Ovis aries: one gene and its partner. The protein of the gene in region 1 binds, or shares a complex with, the protein of each later gene. Links are inferred from orthologs where the notes say so. Each region holds a gene or a part of one and is shown in the gene's direction. Other genes may lie near its edges. The genes, in order: POLD1 and POLD4.

The links.
Region 2: POLD1 (region 1) and POLD4 share a complex: the UniProt entries of both Homo sapiens proteins name them as parts of the tetrameric DNA polymerase delta complex. The link is inferred for Ovis aries from reciprocal best matches to the Homo sapiens genes POLD1 and POLD4.

The regions. Positions count from the first base shown.
Region 1 is NC_056067.1:56,282,985-56,292,466, forward strand, and holds the start of POLD1 (DNA polymerase delta catalytic subunit), read left to right. Parts: upstream 1-4,415; 5' UTR 4,416-4,469; intron 4,470-5,331; 5' UTR 5,332-5,478; intron 5,479-6,181; 5' UTR 6,182-6,198; coding exon 6,199-6,356; intron 6,357-9,482. Other genes in the region: NR1H2 (oxysterols receptor LXR-beta), read left to right, coding at 555-763, 1,006-1,152. UniProt on the Homo sapiens protein: As the catalytic component of the trimeric (Pol-delta3 complex) and tetrameric DNA polymerase delta complexes (Pol-delta4 complex), plays a crucial role in high fidelity genome replication, including in lagging strand synthesis, and repair.
Region 2 is NC_056074.1:41,658,276-41,667,261, reverse strand, and holds POLD4 (DNA polymerase delta subunit 4), read left to right. Parts: upstream 1-4,522; 5' UTR 4,523-4,683; coding exon 4,684-4,780; exon of another isoform or gene 4,781-4,993; coding exon 4,994-5,083; coding exon of another isoform or gene 5,084-5,207; intron 5,208-5,299; coding exon 5,300-5,411; intron 5,412-5,772; coding exon 5,773-5,797; 3' UTR 5,798-6,244; downstream 6,245-8,986. UniProt on the Homo sapiens protein: As a component of the tetrameric DNA polymerase delta complex (Pol-delta4), plays a role in high fidelity genome replication and repair.

The DNA.
Region 1 (9,482 bases):
CATCTCACAGGGTGGATGGCGTACTTGCAGACCTGTCTATTATCTGTCTCTTCAAGCCCCAGATGCAAGTGCCACGAGAGCAGGGGGCTTTGTCTTAGAATGTCTCTGCCTGGGACCTGATGCGCAGTGGGTGCTCAATCAAGTTTGATGAATGAATGAGTCACACCTGGAAATGAGTTCCGCTTCACTGTGAGAGCAGGGGATGCCACCTCAGGGGGTGATGTAAGGTGACCTGGGATTAAACACCTTTCCTTTTCCAGAGGAGAGGTACCAGGAAGGAAGCGAAGAGGGTGACGGGGTGGTAGAAACTTCTGAATAAATGTTCACACTTATTACTCATTGCTTCATTCAGGCAAGACATATGGCATACCCACGACGTGCCAAGCCCTTGATGGGCAGTGGGGTTACAGGGTGACCAGCACGCTCTACTTGCTGCTGGTTCCCTCGCTCTGCTGACAGTGGGCAATGCCAGTGGCAGGGCAATGCCAGTGGCCAGGCATGGGGGCCAGTTTTAGGTCAGAGTGTTTATCAGAGCCAGTCTCCTGTCTCCACAGGCCTGCAGGTGGAATTCATCAACCCCATCTTCGAGTTCTCACGGGCCATGAGGCGTCTGGGCCTGGATGACGCGGAGTACGCCCTGCTCATCGCCATCAACATCTTCTCAGCCGACCGGCCCAACGTGCAGGAGCCCAGCCGGGTCGAGGCCCTGCAGCAGCCCTACGTGGACGCGCTGTTGTCTTACACACGCATCAAGAGGCCACAGGTACCGGAGCCCGGACCCTCCCAAGGAAACCTAGACCTGTGTAGGGTCAGCTTCCTACGTCCCTGGCTCACCCCAGCAGCTGAGTTCTGATCAGTGTCCTCTCAGCAGCCTGTCCTCAAGGCCCCTGTCCCATCATTAAGGAGTCAGGCAAGTCCTTGCCCAGGGGCCCCCACACTGCCTCTCCAGGGTGGGGGTCCTCCGGGTGGGCCGCCTGGCACCCACCCACTCCTGTCTCCTTGCAGGACCAGCTGCGCTTCCCCCGCATGCTGATGAAGCTTGTGAGCCTGCGCACGCTCAGCTCCGTGCACTCGGAGCAGGTCTTCGCCCTGCGGCTTCAGGACAAGAAGCTGCCACCTTTGCTGTCTGAGATCTGGGACGTCCACGAATGAAGGGCCCACCCCACTGCCCTGCACATCCCCAATGACTGCACACTGGGGTGGGAAGGGACCGGGCTGGGTCTGGGCTCCCGCCCTGCGGCTCGGAGCTAAAGCCTTGGCCCCCCGCCAGCCCTCAGGATGAGCCCCAGTCGGCGTCCAGGAGCCTCCCTGCCTGCCCACTGAGTCTTCCTGGGAGGGCTGGAGGGGGTCACGGGTCCTGAGCTCTGACCTCTCCCAGCACTCCCAGCTGCCCTCCCCGCCCAGCTTACACCTCAAGCCTACCATGCAGTGCACCTTGAACAGAGGCAGGAGGGCCTGTGGCTCTCCCACAGCCTGAGAGACCACAGACAGGCTCCCTGCTCTGCTCCTTTTATTTAATAAAAACTAAAAAAAAAAAAAAAAAAACAGGAAAATAAAGTATGACTAGAAACTTGCTCTGATTCAGGATGAGTCTGAGGTGGGAATGGGCTGCCAGGGTCTTCATGGACACCAAACCCCCAGACCTGGTGTTGGACTAGGGTGGGTTCAGGGTGATAAGACTAGGCGCTTTGGGGGCCTCAGGGTCATCTGGTGGTTGGAGCCTGCTCCTGAAGGTCAGGGAGGATTTAAGTGGAGGAGGGCATGGAGCTTTCGTTCAATCAGCAAGTATTGGCTGAGGCTGCTTTGTCGGCCAGTCTCAGGACACAGGTGTTTTTCATTTGACAGATGCGTATGGAGCATTTGTGCTGTGCTGTGGTTAGTCGCTAACTCGTGTCCGACTCTGACCTCATGGACTGTAGCCCACCAGGCTCCTCTGTCCGTGGGGATTCTCCAGGCAGCAATACTGGAGTGGGTTGCCATGCCCTCCTCCAGGGGATCTTCCTAACCCAGGGATCGAACCCAGGTCTCCCGCATTGCAGGCGGATTCTTTACCATCTGAGCCACCAGGGAAGCCCCATGGAGCATTTACTATGTGCCAAATACATTCTTAGGCACTGGAAACATCTGTGAACACGATAAAGTCTCTGCAGCCACCGTGGAAAACAGTATGGCGGTTTCTCAAAACACGAAAACTAGAGGAATTCCTTGGCAGTCCAGTGGTTAGGACCCTGGGGGCCTAGGTTCAGTGCCTGGCTGCGGAACTAAGATTACACATGCCATTCGTTGGGGTCAAAAAAAAAGCTAAACTAGAACTCTGTCACAGGACTCAGCAATCCCACTCCTGGATATATACTGAAAAAACCCCAAACACTAAATTTGAAAGGATACACACACCTCAATATTCGTAGCAATATTATTTACAATTGCCAAGATAATGGAAGTGACCTAAGTGTTCATCTACAGATGAAGAAGGCGTCATACGTACATACAGAATGGGATACTATTCAGTCATGAAAGTGAAATTTTTGCTATCTGCAGCAACATGGTTGGACTTGAAGGGCATTGCTGCTGCTGCTGCTAAGTCACTTCAGTCGTATACGACTCTGGGCGACCCCATAGACAGCAGCCCACCAGGCTCCTCCGTCCCTGGGATTCTCCAGGCAAGAATACTCGAGTGGGTTGCCATCTCCTTCTCCAATGCATGCAGGCATGCTAAGTCGCTTCAGTCGTGTCCGACTGTATGACCCCATGGACAGCAGCCCACCAGGCTCATCTGTCCACAGGATTCTCCAGGCAAGAATACTAGAGTGGGTTGCCATTTCCTTCTCTATGGAGGGCATTATGCTAAGTGAAATAAGACAGAGAAAGACATATACTGTGCATCATTTACAAACGGAATCTAAATACAACTAACTAGTGACTATAACAGAAAAGAAGCTGATTGACAGACTGAACAAACTAGTGGTTACCAGTGGCGGGAGGGACAACAGGGGTGGAGGATTGGGAGGTAAAAACTATGGGTGTAAGGTAGGCTCAAGGATGTGTTGTACAACATGGACAATAATAGCCAATATTTTGTAATAATTGTAAATGGACCTTTACAAATTGTATTGGGGAGTTCCCTGGTGGTCTAGTAGTCGGACCTCTATGCTTTAACTGCCAGGAACTGAGTTCAATACCTGGTCAGGAAGTAAGATTTTGCAAGCTAGGCCACACAGCCAAAAATCAAATCAAATAAATAAGGTGAAGTCTCTCCTCGGAGTTGACCACCAGTCAGGGCTGGTCATGGGAGGCTGAGCAGGAACTGACAGAAGGTAAGGGAAGAGGGGCAGCGCGGGACAATGTGGGAGATGAGTAGGAAGTCAGGCAAGGCCTCAAAAGAGGCCTGCTGCTGCTGCTAATCACTTGAGTCTATCTGACTCTGTGCGACCCCATAGACGGCAGCCCACCAGGCTCCCCCGTCCCTGGGATTCTCCAGGCAAGAACACTGGAGTGGGTTGCCATTTCCTTCTCCAATGCATGAAAGTGAAAAGTGAAAGGGAAGTCGCTCAGTCGTGTCCAACCCTTAGCATGGACTGCAGCCTACCAGGCTCCTCTGTCCATGGGATTTTCCAGGCAAGGGTACTGGAGTGGGGTGCCATTGCCTTCTCCCGAAAGAGGCCTAGATGAGTTCAAAGGAAAGGCAGTGGAGTTCTCCTAATTTCTTCTTCTGCTGCGCCAAGCCGTGAGGGGACACCGAGGTGAGCTGAATGGACAGTCCCAGTCCAGGGTGAAGAGGGTGTTGTCTGGAGGGGTGGGTGGAGTACTGAAAAATATATTTTTGTAGAGAGGGGAGAGGGAACGGGGGAACTGAGAGTAGTTACATGCGATCGTCGTATCCCAGAGTGCCTCTCGCTCTAGAGATGTGCCTGCCCTGCGCAAGAGTCCAGTTTACAGATGGGGAAGCTGAGGCCGCGCGAGACAGGAGAACCAACCTGGCCAGGATCTGAGCGCGCATGGGCCAGCCTCTATCGGGAGGGAAAAGGTCAGGCTGCGGACTGGAGGAGGAACACTGCCCAGGCGGTCCTCCCGACAAGGCCTTGGCCAGGAAGCGGCTGGGGTGGAGGGTGCGCGCCCAGCACCTTAGAGCCGGCAGGGTCGAACGGAGGGCCGGCGCCCAGAGCCGCTGCGCGTGCGCAGAGAACACTGGGTCTCAACCCGCCGGTGAGGAAGGGGGCGTAGCTTCGAGCCACAAACGTCAGAGGGGGCGTGGCTTGGCGAGGATACATCCGCAAGGGGACTAGACCACCGTCCAAGTTGGAAGGAGGGGGCGTGGCCTGTGCCCCAGAGAGGGGGAAGAGGGCGTGGCCTCCCATATTTGGGTGGGAGGGGCGTGGCCCGGCTCTGCGCGCCGCACTTCTGGGCCTGCGCGCGCCGGAGTCAGGGGTCACGGCGGCGTGGGCTGTGGCGGGAAACACTGTTTGAAGCGGGTGAGTTACGGGAGAAGGGGATTTGCAGGGGACTTTGCCTGGCCGGGAAGGAGGCTTGGGGAGCCGAGTCCGTGGGCCTGAGAGAGGGTTGTGAGAGCTCGCGTGGGGCATGGCGGCGGGAGGGATCCCCTTGGTTAGGGGGCGCGCGCAGGAGGGGCAGAGGCCAGTGGCCGTGGGCGCGTACGCGGGGGCAGATGACAGGGTGGGGGCGTCCCCTCGGCCTGCGGGGGGCGCTGGCGCTGGGCGCCGAGGACGAGGGGGACGCACACTGGGGAGTCTTGGGAGCAACGGGTCCCGGAGGCATTGGGTTCTCGATGGTGCACGTGAGGGCATGGTGTCATCTTTTATTCTCTAGATACTGAGTACACTGTGCCCAGCACTGCCCTAGGGTTCGAGGCTACAACCCAAATAAGTCAGAGAAAGCCTCTTTCTCAGGGGCAGACCGAGAGTAGACAAGTAGTAAGTAATGACGACAAACCAATGTTGTCAGCTTGTGATTCGTTACCCCAAGGAAAGTGAAACAAGAGTAGCCTGCTTTTTTATTTCTGGAGTGAACAGGAGTAGTCCCTCTGGGGAAGTGACATTTGAGAGAGAAGTGAGCCCCGGAAAAAATGTTCTGGACGTGGGGTGGATGGGCTGGCCATCCAGTAAAAAGACCTTGAAGTAGGAAGGGGCTTGGCTTCCTTGTAACTTGTAGGGAAGAGTGAGGCTGGAGACATGGTAGGGAACCAGATCCTATAGGGCTTTGTACATCTCAGTGTTCCCTTTAACGTTTACTGTAAGTTCAGTAGGGAGCTGGGGAGGTTTTGAGCATCACAGCGTCTTGATCCTCCCCTGAGCTTTAAAAAATCTCTGACTGCAGATTGAAGATGGGGTTGTAGCAGGAGTGAGAGTGGAAGGAGGAGAGGCCAGTTGGAGGCAAGGGGGAATGCTAGGCGGCTCAGCCTGCAGTGCAAGTGGGGAGAATCCATCAGGCGGAGGTGGTTTCTGGAGTGTGAACGCGCACAAGGTGAGTGTAGGGAAGGGGGGAGCCCAGGATCACAGGGCTTGTGGTTCGAGCAGTAGGCTGGAGACGGGGAGCTGAGGGGGGGCAGGTTTGGGGGTGCCACCCTGAGGGCAGAGCTTAGGTGGTGCAAGTGGGCAGGGTGATGGCAGTGTGTCAGGTTCACGGCCACACCCACTCCAGGAACCTCTTGTTGCCTTTTCTCCCCCTCCTTCCTGCACCTCCCCACCCAGGCTGTTCCTGCCCTACTCAGGGCCTTTGCTGGGCACTGGGGAGCTAGTGATAATTCCGTTTGGTTGGAAGAAGGACAGGAATCTCAAGCCAGAGCTCTCTGAACTAAAAAGAGGCGGCACTAGTCTTTGGGAGCTAACAGAAGAAAATGAGGGTTCAAGGTGGACTCATGGCGTTGGTGACACCAGAGAAGGGTCTAAACCGACACAACTTGAAGTGGCCTGCATCGCAGGCTCTCTGCTAGGTGATGCTGGGGACCCAGACTGGAGCCAGCCCCTGACCCCTGTGTTTTGAGGACCTCTCAGTTGGAAGTTGTCACAGCTTGTGCAGTAATGGAAATGCCCCCAAGATGCTGTGGGAGCCCCTAGGGGGCCGCTGATCAGTGAGGAGGAACTGAACCAGAACTGAGTTTCAGAGGGTGTAGAGGAGTTAGGTGGCCAAGAAAAAGGAAGATTTCATCCCGAAAACTTCTCCCAAGACCAGGCCCCATGCTGGATGATCCCGGGGACCCAGAGCAGCCTCAGCCCTGCCCCGCCATCAAGAGTTCCCTGTCTGGTGAGGGAGCCAGACACAAGCCCAGGTGATCCACAGCCCAGGACGAGGGCAGCAGGAGTCACGAGGCCCAGAGGGGGGACCTGGCCAAAGCCTGAAAGGTGTGGAGTTTTCAGGGGGGGCGGGAGTGAATAGATCCATTTGTCGTTATTTAATCGATCCTTTGACAGATGTGTGTGAGCCAGGATACAGGGTGAGCAAGCAGATGAGTCTGTCCTGTCTCCCCTGCTGGGCAGAGGGCAGTTCACCCCCATATCGCTCCTGGCACCCCCAGAGGCCGACAGTCTGGCGCACTGATCACCCGTGGGGCCCTGGAGCCAGTCTGCTTGGGTTGGAACCCGGGCTCTGCCCCTCTGAGCTCGTTGTGTCACCTCAGGCTTGAAGGTGGCTTCACGTCTCTGGGCCTCCATGCCAGTCACTGTGTTGGAGAGTTAATAGCAGCACCTGCCTCAGAAGCTTTGGTGAAAATTTTGAGTTCCTTCCTTGGTGCTGCATTCAGAACGTATTCGGAGAAGGCAAAGGCAACCCACTCCAGCGTTCTTGCTTGGAGAATCCCAGGGACGGAGGATCCTGATAGGCTGCCGTCTATGGGGTCGCACAGATTCGGACACGACTGAAGCGACTTAGCAGCAGCAGCAGCACTTATTTATTGGGTGTGTACTCGGCTTCAGCCTCTCTCCTGGGGACATGAGATGTAGCGGGAAACAGAAGGTGAAATCCCGGCTTTGGCAGTATTTCCATTCTCCTTGCAGACAGTAAACAAAACGAATAGGCAGTAGTGCTCAGGCTTGAGCAGCTTCGGAGGCCCTGGAGGGCTCGATCCTACGCGGGGGGCTGGGCCCACCTCCAGAGGCCCTGACTCAGTAGGTCTGGGGTGGGGCCTGAAGGCTTCCATTCCCACCAGTTCCCACCAGAAGCTGCAGGTGCAGGGCGCCACACTTGGAGAACTCTGAACGATCTGATACAGCACAGCAGACAGCGAGAGGCCAGCAAGAAAAATAAAGCTAGGGAAGGAGTTGGAGAGTGTCAGGAGGGGCAGCGGGGCTGTCTTTTCAAATTTTTCTGTATCTGTTTTCTGGTCGCGCCTTGGCCTGTGGGAGTTCCCTGGCCAGGAATCGAACCCATCCCCCCTGCCGTAGAAGTGCAGAGTCTAACCACTGGACTGCTGGGGAGGCCCCAGGGGCTGTATTTTGAAGCCGGCCTCACTGGGAAGGTGAAATTGGAACAAAAACCTGAAGGCGGGGAGGAGAGAGCCATGGGGATGTCTGGAAAAGAGCATTTGGTTGGGCAGCAAGAACAGCTTGTGAAAAGGTCTGGGGTAGGAGCAAGCCTGGAGTGTTTGAGGAACAGAGAGGAGGCAAGTGGCTGGAGTGAGCAAGGGAGAGAGGGCGGAGGTGGTATCCCTGAAAGAGTAGGTGGGGGCAGTTGTGCAGGGCCTTGTGGGCCACAATGAGGACTTTTAACTGTGCATGAGGCAAGAGCCAGGGACAGGCTCTGAGCAGAGCAGGGGTGGGACGATCTGACATAAAGTCTCTTTGGTTGCTGAGTGGAGAAAACACTGAGGGGGGCCAGGTGGAAGGAGGGCGGGGCCAGGTGGAAGGAGGGAGATGACAGGCGGGCAAGGCTATTCATTCAGCAGATACTCCTCGGGTGTCCTCTATGGGCCAGACACTGTTACTGACACCCGTGATTCTTCAGTGAAGGAGACTGCATCCCAGGCCGAGCTGAGCTTATTTTCCAGCAGGGGGAGCCAGACAAACAGCAATGCACAAAATAGAGGCCAACGATCTTAGGGAGCTGGGGCGGGGCCTGTCCATTGAAAGGGAGAGCTGATAAATAAATTTGCTGATGCAGTGAGCGTGTGGTCTGAAGGGAAGAGAGAAGTTGGGGTGACTCCAAGGTTGTCGACCTGCCGGGAGTTGTACTGAATCAGGGGAGACTGTGGGGTGCGAGGAGCAGGTTTGGGGGGAGATCAGGAGCCTGGCTTTGGAGTCTGGGGTGCCTGAAGGGACGTCGCCACAGTGGGCACTCAGATCTGTCAGCCTGGAGTCCCGGCTGAGGTCTGTGTGGGAGACACAAAAGCTAAGAGATGGCATTTAAAGCCATCCCCTGGTGGTTAAGATTCCACTCTTAGTTGTGGGTTCGATCCCAGGTCAGGGGACTAAGATCCATATGCTTAGTGGTGTAGCAAAAAAAAAAAGCGGTGAGGTTGGGTGGGATGGGATGACAACCTCCAGGGAGTGTGTCAGAGAGAAACGGGTGTGTGACTAGAGCAGGCACTCGTTGTGGTTAATGCTGGATTCACTTGCTGTTCAGTATTTGCTGCTGAAGCACCCAGAAAGGTGCCAAGCTCTGCCCTGCACTCCTGCGAGGGGGACACCCAGGGACCCTCCCTTCTCATGCTGGCTTGCCTGACAGCACCTGGGATAGGAGACTAGTCCAGGACCCTAGGTTTTGCTCCGGTGACAGCTGCCCACCCATCGTACCCCCTGGCCACAGCCCAGTGACCCAGGGCAGCCGGTTGGCCCTCTCCTTCCTCCCCCTGACAAGCCAGGTCTGCCACTCCGTGGGGCTCCTGGCAACCCCTGAGCTTCCTCTGCCTCACCTGGGCATTTCCCCCAGGTCCTAACTCTCTGCATCCCTCTGGCTACTCGCATGGCCGGAGCAAAGGCCTCTAGGCTCATTCCTTATTCTGAGATCAGACCACGTATCTGCACAGTTACACGCGGAGGGCACAGGAAGTACTCAGGCGTAAAAAGGAATGAAGCCCAGATCCGTGCTAGAACGGGGGTGGACCTTGAAAACATTCTCAGGGAAAGAAGCCATACACAGGATTCCATTTCTAGGAAATGCGCAGAATAGGCCGATCCATCTAGACAAAGCAGATCAGTGGTGCTCTGGGGGAGGGCGGGAGAGGCACTGAGTGGAGAGGGTCTTTTTTGTGTGATGACAGTGTTCTAAGATGGACTGTGGTCAAGGTTGCCCAAGTTCTGAATATACTGAAAACCACTGAACTGTACACTTAAAATGTACATGAATCGTATGGTATGTGAATGAGATCTTGGTCAAACTATCTCCCCACCCCAGCCCCCCAGAAAGCCAATGTTGCCAGTTTATTACCTATCCTGCCACAATTATGCGTGAAAAAGCAACATCTTTAGATATATTTTCCCATCAGCTTGGATAAATGTTATTTTTCTTTTATGTGTTTCTCTCCAGCTTTTTCT
Region 2 (8,986 bases), on another chromosome or scaffold:
GTTTGAGTAAACTCCAAGAGTTGGTGATGGACAGGGAGGCCTGGTGTGCTGCAGTCCAGGGGGTCGCAAAAAGTCGGACATGACTAAGCAACTGAGCTGAACTGATAGCCAGAGGCCCAGGGAGGCAGAGGTCAATTTAAGAACCTGAAACACAGAGCCCTGCAGTCACCACAGCTGGGGGGTTGGGGGGGAAGGGCATTACCTCTGGACCTCCTTCTGTCCCCAGGAAGGCTAGGGAGGGTGGGAGGGAAGGAGAGAAGGCCCTCCTCCCTGTCGCTCCCCACCCCACCCCCCACCCCGCCAACAGCGCATGAAGAAGAAATCTCACCCCCATGTTGCGATGCCTACCAGATGGAGAACTGTGAGTTGGGTGAGGCAACGTTCGGGGTGGGGGGGCGGGTACAGTAGACTCTCCTGGGAGGCGGCAGGACAGCAGTCATGCTTTGCCAGCTTCCTGCTTTTGCAAAGACTGACCCATATCTAGGACTTCGGTCCCCCCTTGGTGTGTGGGGAGATTCATTCAAGCACTCGCTCTCACACAAACACATATTCTTCACCCACTTGCCACAGTGGAGAGGGCCAAGGGAGGCCCTTGTTCCTCTTAACCTAGAGGGCAAGGGTGATGATCCAGGCCTGGTTGAGCACTCTGACGGGTGGCTCCCTCTCAGCTCCCCCTTATTCTCTGGAGCCACAACTGTCCCTGCCTTTGTCCCTTCAAGTCTTGAGCTCCCTGACTCAGCCTGTTTCCCCAGTTTCCCAGCAGTGGACAAAGCCCTCATCAGTGGGGTGGGGGTGAGGGTGGGGGCAGTGAGGGAGTCACTGTGAGCTTTAGAACCAGAGCTGCAGCCCTCTCCCCAGCCTTCAGTGTGTCTCAGCCTTCCTAGTTCAGAGGCCACCTCTAGGCCCCTCCCCACCTGGCCCTCATCTCCACAAGGCCAGGCCGATGGGGTGGACGTGAAGGAGGACCCTCCTCCCAGCTGGACAAAGTCTGACACCTGGTGGCCAAGGTGAGGAATGGCCAGAAGGGCCCCTTTTCAAAGTTCCCTAGGACTTCTTTAAAGCCGGCAAGGCCAAGGTGAAATGGGAGGTGATGGGAGGGAGGTTTGAATGGGGTAGTGGAGACAGGGCAGAAGAGACATCCAGTGGCAGAAACCCAGACCCAGGGGAACTTCTGCCTACTCCCAGGCTCCTGAAAGCCCACGAGGCCCGGGAAGCTGGAGGAGGAGGAAGGAGGATGTCTGAGGGGGTCAGCAGGGACCAGGAGGAGCTGCCTGAAAGAATTCTGGCCCCACAGGGTGGGAAACGGGGCTCAGGGTTGTGAGTCTGGTGCCGAGAATCTCCAGCTCAGGGTGGGTGGCAGGGCCTGAGGGCCTGAGGAAGGGGGATGTTGGGGAGGGAAGGAGAGTGGCTGCGCCCCACCGCCTGCTGGGCCCCAGGCAGCTGCTCCCCTCTCTCCACCTGCCCCCTCCTCTGAGCTCTGACAGGCCCTCCCCGCAGGCCCCACTGTTGGGGGGGAGGGAAGGGGCTCTTAGGGTGCATGTGCAGTGCTGAAGCACCGCCCCCCCCCCATCCTGCCGCATTGTCTGAGCTAAGCCAGGCCTAATCCCCCTTCCCCTCGGAGCAGTCAATGGCAGGCCTCAGCCCTCAGGAAGGTGGTGGGATCCTATTCCAAGTCTTTTCTCTCCTTTTCTCTTGGGTTCCCCCAAGATTTTGGACTTGGCTGTGAGGCAAGGGCCTTGAGTGTTCCAAGGTCATTCCTGCTAGTGTCATCACCAGCCTCTGGGGATCAGGGCTGACAAGGAACCTACATCTGGGTCTCAGGAAAATCCCTGAAAGAGAGAAAGTTTAGCCCCCAAGCCAGACCTCTGGCCTGGCCTTCCAGCCTGAAGCCTGAACCACGACAGGCCCCAGGACAGCGGTTTTGGGGCTAGGCCAGGAGGTTGCCTGAGTAGGGATAGGGGTTCCAGGAAGGAAGAGCAAAAGAGGCAGACAGGGTTGGAGAGCAAAGAAGGAAAACACCTGAGGATGGACAGGCGGATGTCTAGCCTAGTTGCCAGCACAGCTTAGGAATCCAGATGCCAAGTTGGGCAAAGATCCCCAGCTGGACAGGGATGGCCCCAAAACCCCTGAGTGCCAACTCCTTCAGGCCCTGGGGCTTGAGCCGACCTCTGTGTGACTAGGAGAGGGGGCCATGCTGCCTGCGGAGACTTTGCTCAACTCCAGGCCAGAAAACCCATGCTAGGGTGCTGGCACTTGAACTGAGAACCTGGACTAGGAGAAGCCAAAGGCCGAGGGAGACATCTTCCAGGCTGAGCAGGGCAGGCTAGCAGGGCCTGGACCAGGCAGGGCTGGGGGCAGCTGGCAGGGATTGCCCAGACAGTGCCCATAGAGCCAGCCAGGGTGCCAGAGGGGAGAGGGACTAGCTCAGGCAGCGGTGGGTAGGAGCCACGGTGGCCGCCCAGCCGCATACCCCATTTCACGCTCCCTGGGCGGTGGCAGGGCCCCACGGCTATCAGCTTTCAGGGGTGGGAGGGACCAGGAATGAGGAGGGGTCTGCCCCACCCATGGCTCCCTACTCCCTTAGGGCTTTGTGGGCTCAGAAGCTGGGTGCCACACACCTCCAGACACACCCTCTGGGGAGGGGTGGTCAGACTCACAGAGCCTGAGCACCATCCCTCCCTGGAGTACTCCCTGCCTGACTGGACCCAGCACCGAAGCCCTTCACAGCCTGGTGGAGAGGGCCTCCCTGTCTCCCTCCCTGTCACAGCAGGGCCCCTGTCTCCCTCCCTGTGGGCCCCACTTAGTCCAGGAGGCAGATGGGGGGATTAGACTTGGCCCAGCCCAAACAATAAAGCAGGGAAGGGCCCTCCAGCTCTGTGCAGTGCACCCAGGAGCTCTCACTCCTCCACTCTGCTCTCCTCCAGGAAGGGATGGGGAGAGCCAGGTGGGAGGAGGCCCCTGCAGACACGGCCTGTTCCTGCTCCTGCGCCTCCTCTTTGGTGGTCTTTCTCCAGAGCATTCTCCTCCCTTTTGCCCACACTCCTCCTGAAACAGGGAGCCCAGACCCCAGAGCAGTGGGAGAGGGGGAAGCAGAAGCCCCTGAGCAGGCCCTTGTGCCCTGGGAGGAAGAACCGGATGGGATCTGTAGAGGGCGATTAGCACTGGGCTGGGCCCTGCAATGATTCCCAGACTCCCACTGGCCAGCACTTTTGCCTGCTGCCAGGAAGTTGGTGAGGAGGAGGCGGGTACAGGGGTGAGTCAGCGATGACAGGAGCCCAAGGGACAAAGGTCATGGGTGGAGAATTGAGAGACACTGTTTACAGCAGCCCACCTCCTCCAGGAGGACTTCCAGTGCTAAGCCAGCCTCACAGTACAACTCATTTCTGACCCTGTCGTCCTCTTCTAGTTTGTTAGGAATTTTATCCTTGCACTGCCATTTGTGTGTCTGTCTGCTTGCCTATTGGCCTGTGAGCTCCTGGGGGACACAGAGGGACGATGGTTTCACCAGGGCCCCACCGTGCCTGACTTCCTACTTCCTGTTATTTTATTTTGGCTGCGCTGGTATGCTTGTGGGATCTTAATTCCCAGAACAGGGACCGAATCCGTTCACCCTACAGTGTAAGCACTGGGTCCTAATCACTGGACTGCCCAAGGAAGTCAGTACTTCCTACTTTCAAGAACCATTTCTGTCTATTTTAGTTGAGAGAGTATGTGGGAAAGTGCTCAGGACAGAACTTGGCACACCGTGTAAGTGTCAGGTTTACTGTCGGTATTTTCTACTCATACTCTCACATTGGGACAGATTTTACTGATGAAGGACTAGGGGTCCAACACACTCTGGCCTCCTGCACCGTGTGGAAGTGTGGAATCTTCCTGAACAGAGGGCAGTGCCAGGCTGTGGGACCCCGGGGCAGTGGAAGAGGCAAGCGCTCGCCTGGACTAAGAGTGGGCAATATCTCTGGGCGCAGACTGTGAGAAAGGAGCTTTCAGAACCCCTGGGCTTCTCCAGCCAGCCAGGTCTCCTGGGGCCGGTGGGGGCGGGGTGGGAGCAGGGAAGGGGTATGGATTAGCCCAAACTCTCTCCGGACCTCCAGACCTGCCCCCACAACGCTCTTTGGGCCAAGGGGCGGGAGTGGAAGTCTCCGGCTGGGCTCTGGGGAGTTACAGACCGGCTACGGGGATTAGTGAGGCTGAAAAGAACATTTGCCTAGGAAGGGAAAACGGGAAGTGAGAGGCCAAGGATAACGCTCTGTAAGTCCCCCGAGACCCACTGCAGACCAGTGTGGGGTGGCCGGAGGAGGTGGTGCCGTCTGGGGCATCTTGACAGGTCCCCCACTCAGCCTCACCCCCCTCCCCCAGAGCACAGCTGCATCAACTGCCCCGCCCCTGCCTGCACCACCTGCCATTGGCTGGGACCAGGCCCCGCCCCACACAGGCAGCCTCTCATTGGCTTAGGTCTGCTGTTTGCATGCTTGCGGGGGTGGGGGAGACGCGTCATTCCCTGGAACCCTCCGACTTCCTTGCTGTTTGTCTGGGTCGTCCGTCTGCCCATCGCTGGCCCCAGGCTCGCTCTCTGGCCCCAGCCCTCTCTCGCTCTCTCTCAGCAGCTGTCTCTCTCGTGCCCGCTGGCCTGCTTCTCCTTCCCGGCAGTGGCCTCCTCCTCTGCCTGCCTGGGTGGCCGCCATGGGCCGGAAACGGCTCATCACTGACTCCTACCCTGTAGTGAAGAGGAGGGAGGGCTCCGCTGGGCACAGCAAGGGGGAGCTGGCACCAGAGCTAGGTCTCTGAGATGTGGGAGGGCGGGAGGAGTGGACGTGAGGGACATGAAAGGACATGGGCTGTGGAAGGGGAAGTGGAGTATGTCCTCTACTTCCGATAGCAGTGGATAACAGAGGCAGAGGGGTGGTGAGAGCTGGGGAACAGTGGGGTCAGTTGTGAGGCAAGGGGCAGGGCACAGGCCTGGGCAGGCCTGAGGAACAGCATATCATTGCAGGGGAAGAGCCCCTAACCCTGAGCGTGGATGAAGCGGAGCTGGAGCTGCTGAGGCAGTTTGACCTGGCCTGGCAGTATGGGCCCTGCACAGGTGAGAGCCCCTCAGGCCCGAGAGCACATCCAGGAGCCAGTCTTGCCACCCACACGTCTCTCAAGCAACCCCAGCCCCTGCCTGACCCTCTGGACACCGTCTCCTGAGACGGGGACTCATGCAGGTCCTGACACACCCCTCCAAACATACTCTCTAGCCTGGACTTTCCCCTGCCCCCTTGAGGCCTCCCTCACTGTCTCCTTTCCACTCCTGCAGGGATCACACGGTTGCAGCGCTGGCATCGGGCAGAGCAGATGGGCTTGAAGCCTCCCCCAGAAGTGCGTCAGGTGCTGCAGAGCCACCCCGGGGATCCCCGCTTCCAGTGCAGGTCAGAGACAAGCCAGGGAGAGCTCTGGGGGGTGGGGCAGGGACTTCAGGTACCACCAGCCTGCTGGCCCAGGATGGGGGCTGTCCTGACCTTCGGGATAAGTAGGTGCAGCCTTGGGGATTGTCACTGGGCAGGCAAGAAGGTTCTACAAGGTGCTGAGCTCAGGAGGCAGAAGCTTGCCTTCGTAATTCTTATCTCTGAGCTAACGGTGGAGAAAGAGTACACCTGGGGCCCAAGGGACTATTTCATGCTCAAAGGTTGGCCAAGGGCTTTAGGCCATGGCCGAGAGCTGGGGCTGGTGAGAGCAAGTGGAGAGACTTCACTGATTCAGGTTTCCCTCCATCCCGACCCCCCTGCACAGCCTCTGGCATTTCTATCCCCTCTGACGCTCCGCCGAAGACCTCCTGCCTGCTACTTGAGAACCGGACACAAGTGAGAGCCAGTTGCTGCCCCGCGGCTCAGCCCTGCTGTGGAGAACATTTGGCAGGAAAGAGGCAGGCAGGGAAGGAAAGAGGCTGAATCTGGAGGTCTAACCAGCCGGGTTCTAGCGCCTCCTCTGAGAACCGACACAGAGGAAGCCAGGTGACCCCTACAGGGAGAGTGATCTCTGGAGGGCCTGGCCGTGACCCTTCTGAAGCCTGCCACACCCCTGTCCTGGACCCCGTGGTCCCTGGCAGCAGCTTTGGGCAGAACCAGACTCCGGCAGAAGGCAGATGACCTCAGAGGCCAAGATGCACCCGCTCCTCAGGCTGGGAACCCGAGGGCAGAACGGCTGAGCTCACAGGGCAAGGGGTTCACTAGTGCTTATCAATAAAGAACTCTGAGCCTGGAAACCTGACCAGTCTCTTTATGTGGGCCTGCCTGGGCTGTTGATAGGTGGCTGAGAACCAGCACCATGCTTTCCTGCAAGGTGTTTGTGTCTCTTCCTCTCCTAACCCTAGACCGGGGAGGAAGGAGAGACACCTTCAAAAAAAAACAACGGTCAGTACTCACAAGCGCTGGGCAACCTCTGGCGCCCCCTGGTGGTTCACAGGAAAACGACTCTAGCCACCTTCCCCGACCAGCCAGGAAAAAACCACTGAACCCATCACCTAGCCTGCCCAGTGCTGCCCAACTCACAAAAATGGGTCCTTTGTCAGAGAAGGACCCATGGGCGCACTTATAAGGTCCAGACAGACATCACATTCCCAGAAAGCACCTCCATTTGCCACTGGGGGCCACCTGGCTCCAAAGCACGGTTGGGGGAGAGTTTCAACCCACAGGACCTGCTCAGAGATGGCCATCATCTGAGGAGCTTCGGTAGGGAACTGACAGGTCCTAGAGATGGAGAAGAACTGGCTGTAATCGACAAACAATGCTTAGGGGACCCTGGGACACGGAGAATGGAATCAGTACTTACGATGCCTCAGCTCTCTGTCCTGCGACAGCTAGAGACAGAACTACTAATTCTCTGGAAGCAGGCCCAGAGGGCAGCAAAGTAGTCTTTTTATTGAGCGCTGACCATGCCTCAAGTACTTTGAATGTATTATCTCTAAGTTTCTGAAAACATCTTCACAGTAGGTTTTACGTAGAAGGACATTGAAGCCTAGACTGCTGTACAGAGTCGTCCAGAAGCACCAGCAGGCACGTGGTGGCGCAGAGACTAGGGGCCAGGTGCACTAGGCTCTTCCGTCTCCCCCTGCCCCGCCTGGCTGCTGAGCACCTGCTGCATGCCGGACTCGGAGGTCCTCTGGGGGTATCAGTGGGAGGAGATGGACAAAAACGAACACATAAAAGTATTATGTCAGGCAGTGGTCAGTGCTGGGCAAAATGAGGGTGAGAGGACAGAGTGCCAAGGGTGCTAGAGAGGCTGTGAGGGGAGACTCTCTGGCATCCACCCTCCCCAGGCAGGCGTGCTCCCAGCTCGGTCAAGAAGCAGCACAGAGACCAGGGTGGGGCAGAGGGAGCCAGGGGAGGGTGAGGGGAAATGGGGACAGAGGGGTAACCAGGTTGGTCCCAGGGCTCCTTGCAGACCAGGGTGAGGAATCTGGATTTCATTCTGAGTAAGAGAGGAAGTTGTCAATGGGTTTTAAGCCAACAAATGACAAACTGATGGCTGTTGGTAGAAAACACAATGGGGGGCTGGGGGCAGGAGGCTGCTGGAGGTGATGGTGATGCCTCACCATGAGGTGAGGGGTAGGAGATAGAGGTAGGAGGTGGCCAGACTCTTTCTGTATTTTGAAGGAAGAACTAACTGACAAGACTTGCTGATGGGTTGGCTGTGGGGTTTAAGAAAGAGGAGCCAAGGATAACTCCAAAGGGTTTGGCTTGCACAACTGGAAGAACAGAGTTCCCATTACTAAGATGGGAAAGATTGCGGGAAGGGGAGGGTGGGGCGGGGAATGAAGAGTTCAGTTTGAGGTCTGTGACACAGCCAAGCTGGGGAGTCGGCAGTGGTGGATACGTAAGTCTGGAATTCCAGGAAAAGCTCTCGAATTGAGATAGAAATTTGGGCATCCTTTAGGTGGCAATGAAAGCCATGTGTGGGCATGAGATTACCTGAGTGAGTATAGACAGAGGCAAGGGCCTGAGCAAGGAGACTGAGGAGGGGCACGACTGGAGGAAGTCAGGAGAGAGGAGGGCCTGGGAGGCCTGGGCAGAGGGTGTTTCAAAGTCTCAGATGCTTCTGACAGGCTGGTAAAATAAACCTGAGACGTGCACGCTGGACTTGGCCACGTGGAGGTCACTGGCGACAGGCAGTTCCCCTGGACTGGTGGTATAGGACTGGGCCTAGAGTGGGCGCAGAGGGAGCGGCGGTGGAAGTGGAGACAAGGATCAGGCCAGGCCTTCCAGGGACCTTTTATTGTGAAAGAAGCAGAGAAGTGAGTGGCAACTAGAGAGGATATGGGGTCAAGGAATGGCGCTTACTCTGTGCTGCCCCGTTCCATCTTTCGTGTTAGAGTGACACACAGCGTAATGGCCCGGCGCAGGGAGAGACCAGGGGGTGGGGCACTGAGGGCCGGGAGACAGTGGAGGCAGGTGATGAGTGGGGTCTCTGTGAAGGTGAGGAGGGCCAGGACTAGAGCACAGGGAAGAGTGTGGCCTTAGACCAGAGCATCCAGTGGCCTGAAGGGAGCCACAGGGAGTGGGGCAGATGCAGGGGAGGGGACATTCAAGAATCAGACGTTTGCTGACAGCTTGGTGCGCTGGGAGGGAGCAGATGTTTACCAAGCACTGACCCGTGCCATCTGCTGCGCTTCACGCCACCTAGCTGGCTGCTCAGAACAATCTCGTCAGGTGAGTATCAGCCACTGTCACAGATGAGGACACCGAGGCTGAGAGGAAAAGTGCCCTGCTTCATCAGTGGACACCAGGGCCCAACTCCCACCCAGGTCTGCCTTCCCACTCTGAGGCCCCACACCCGCATTCCCACCCACACCTGCTCCAGGTGTCTAGTGTAGCATCGGAAAGACCTGCCCATGTGGAAAGTGTGCTACCCTGGGGCGGGCAGGAAGGCATCGACAGAGTGCTCAGGGAGGACCGAGCACAGCGTGTTCCGGGGAACCTCACTGCAAGGGCCCTGAGCCCAAGCCTGC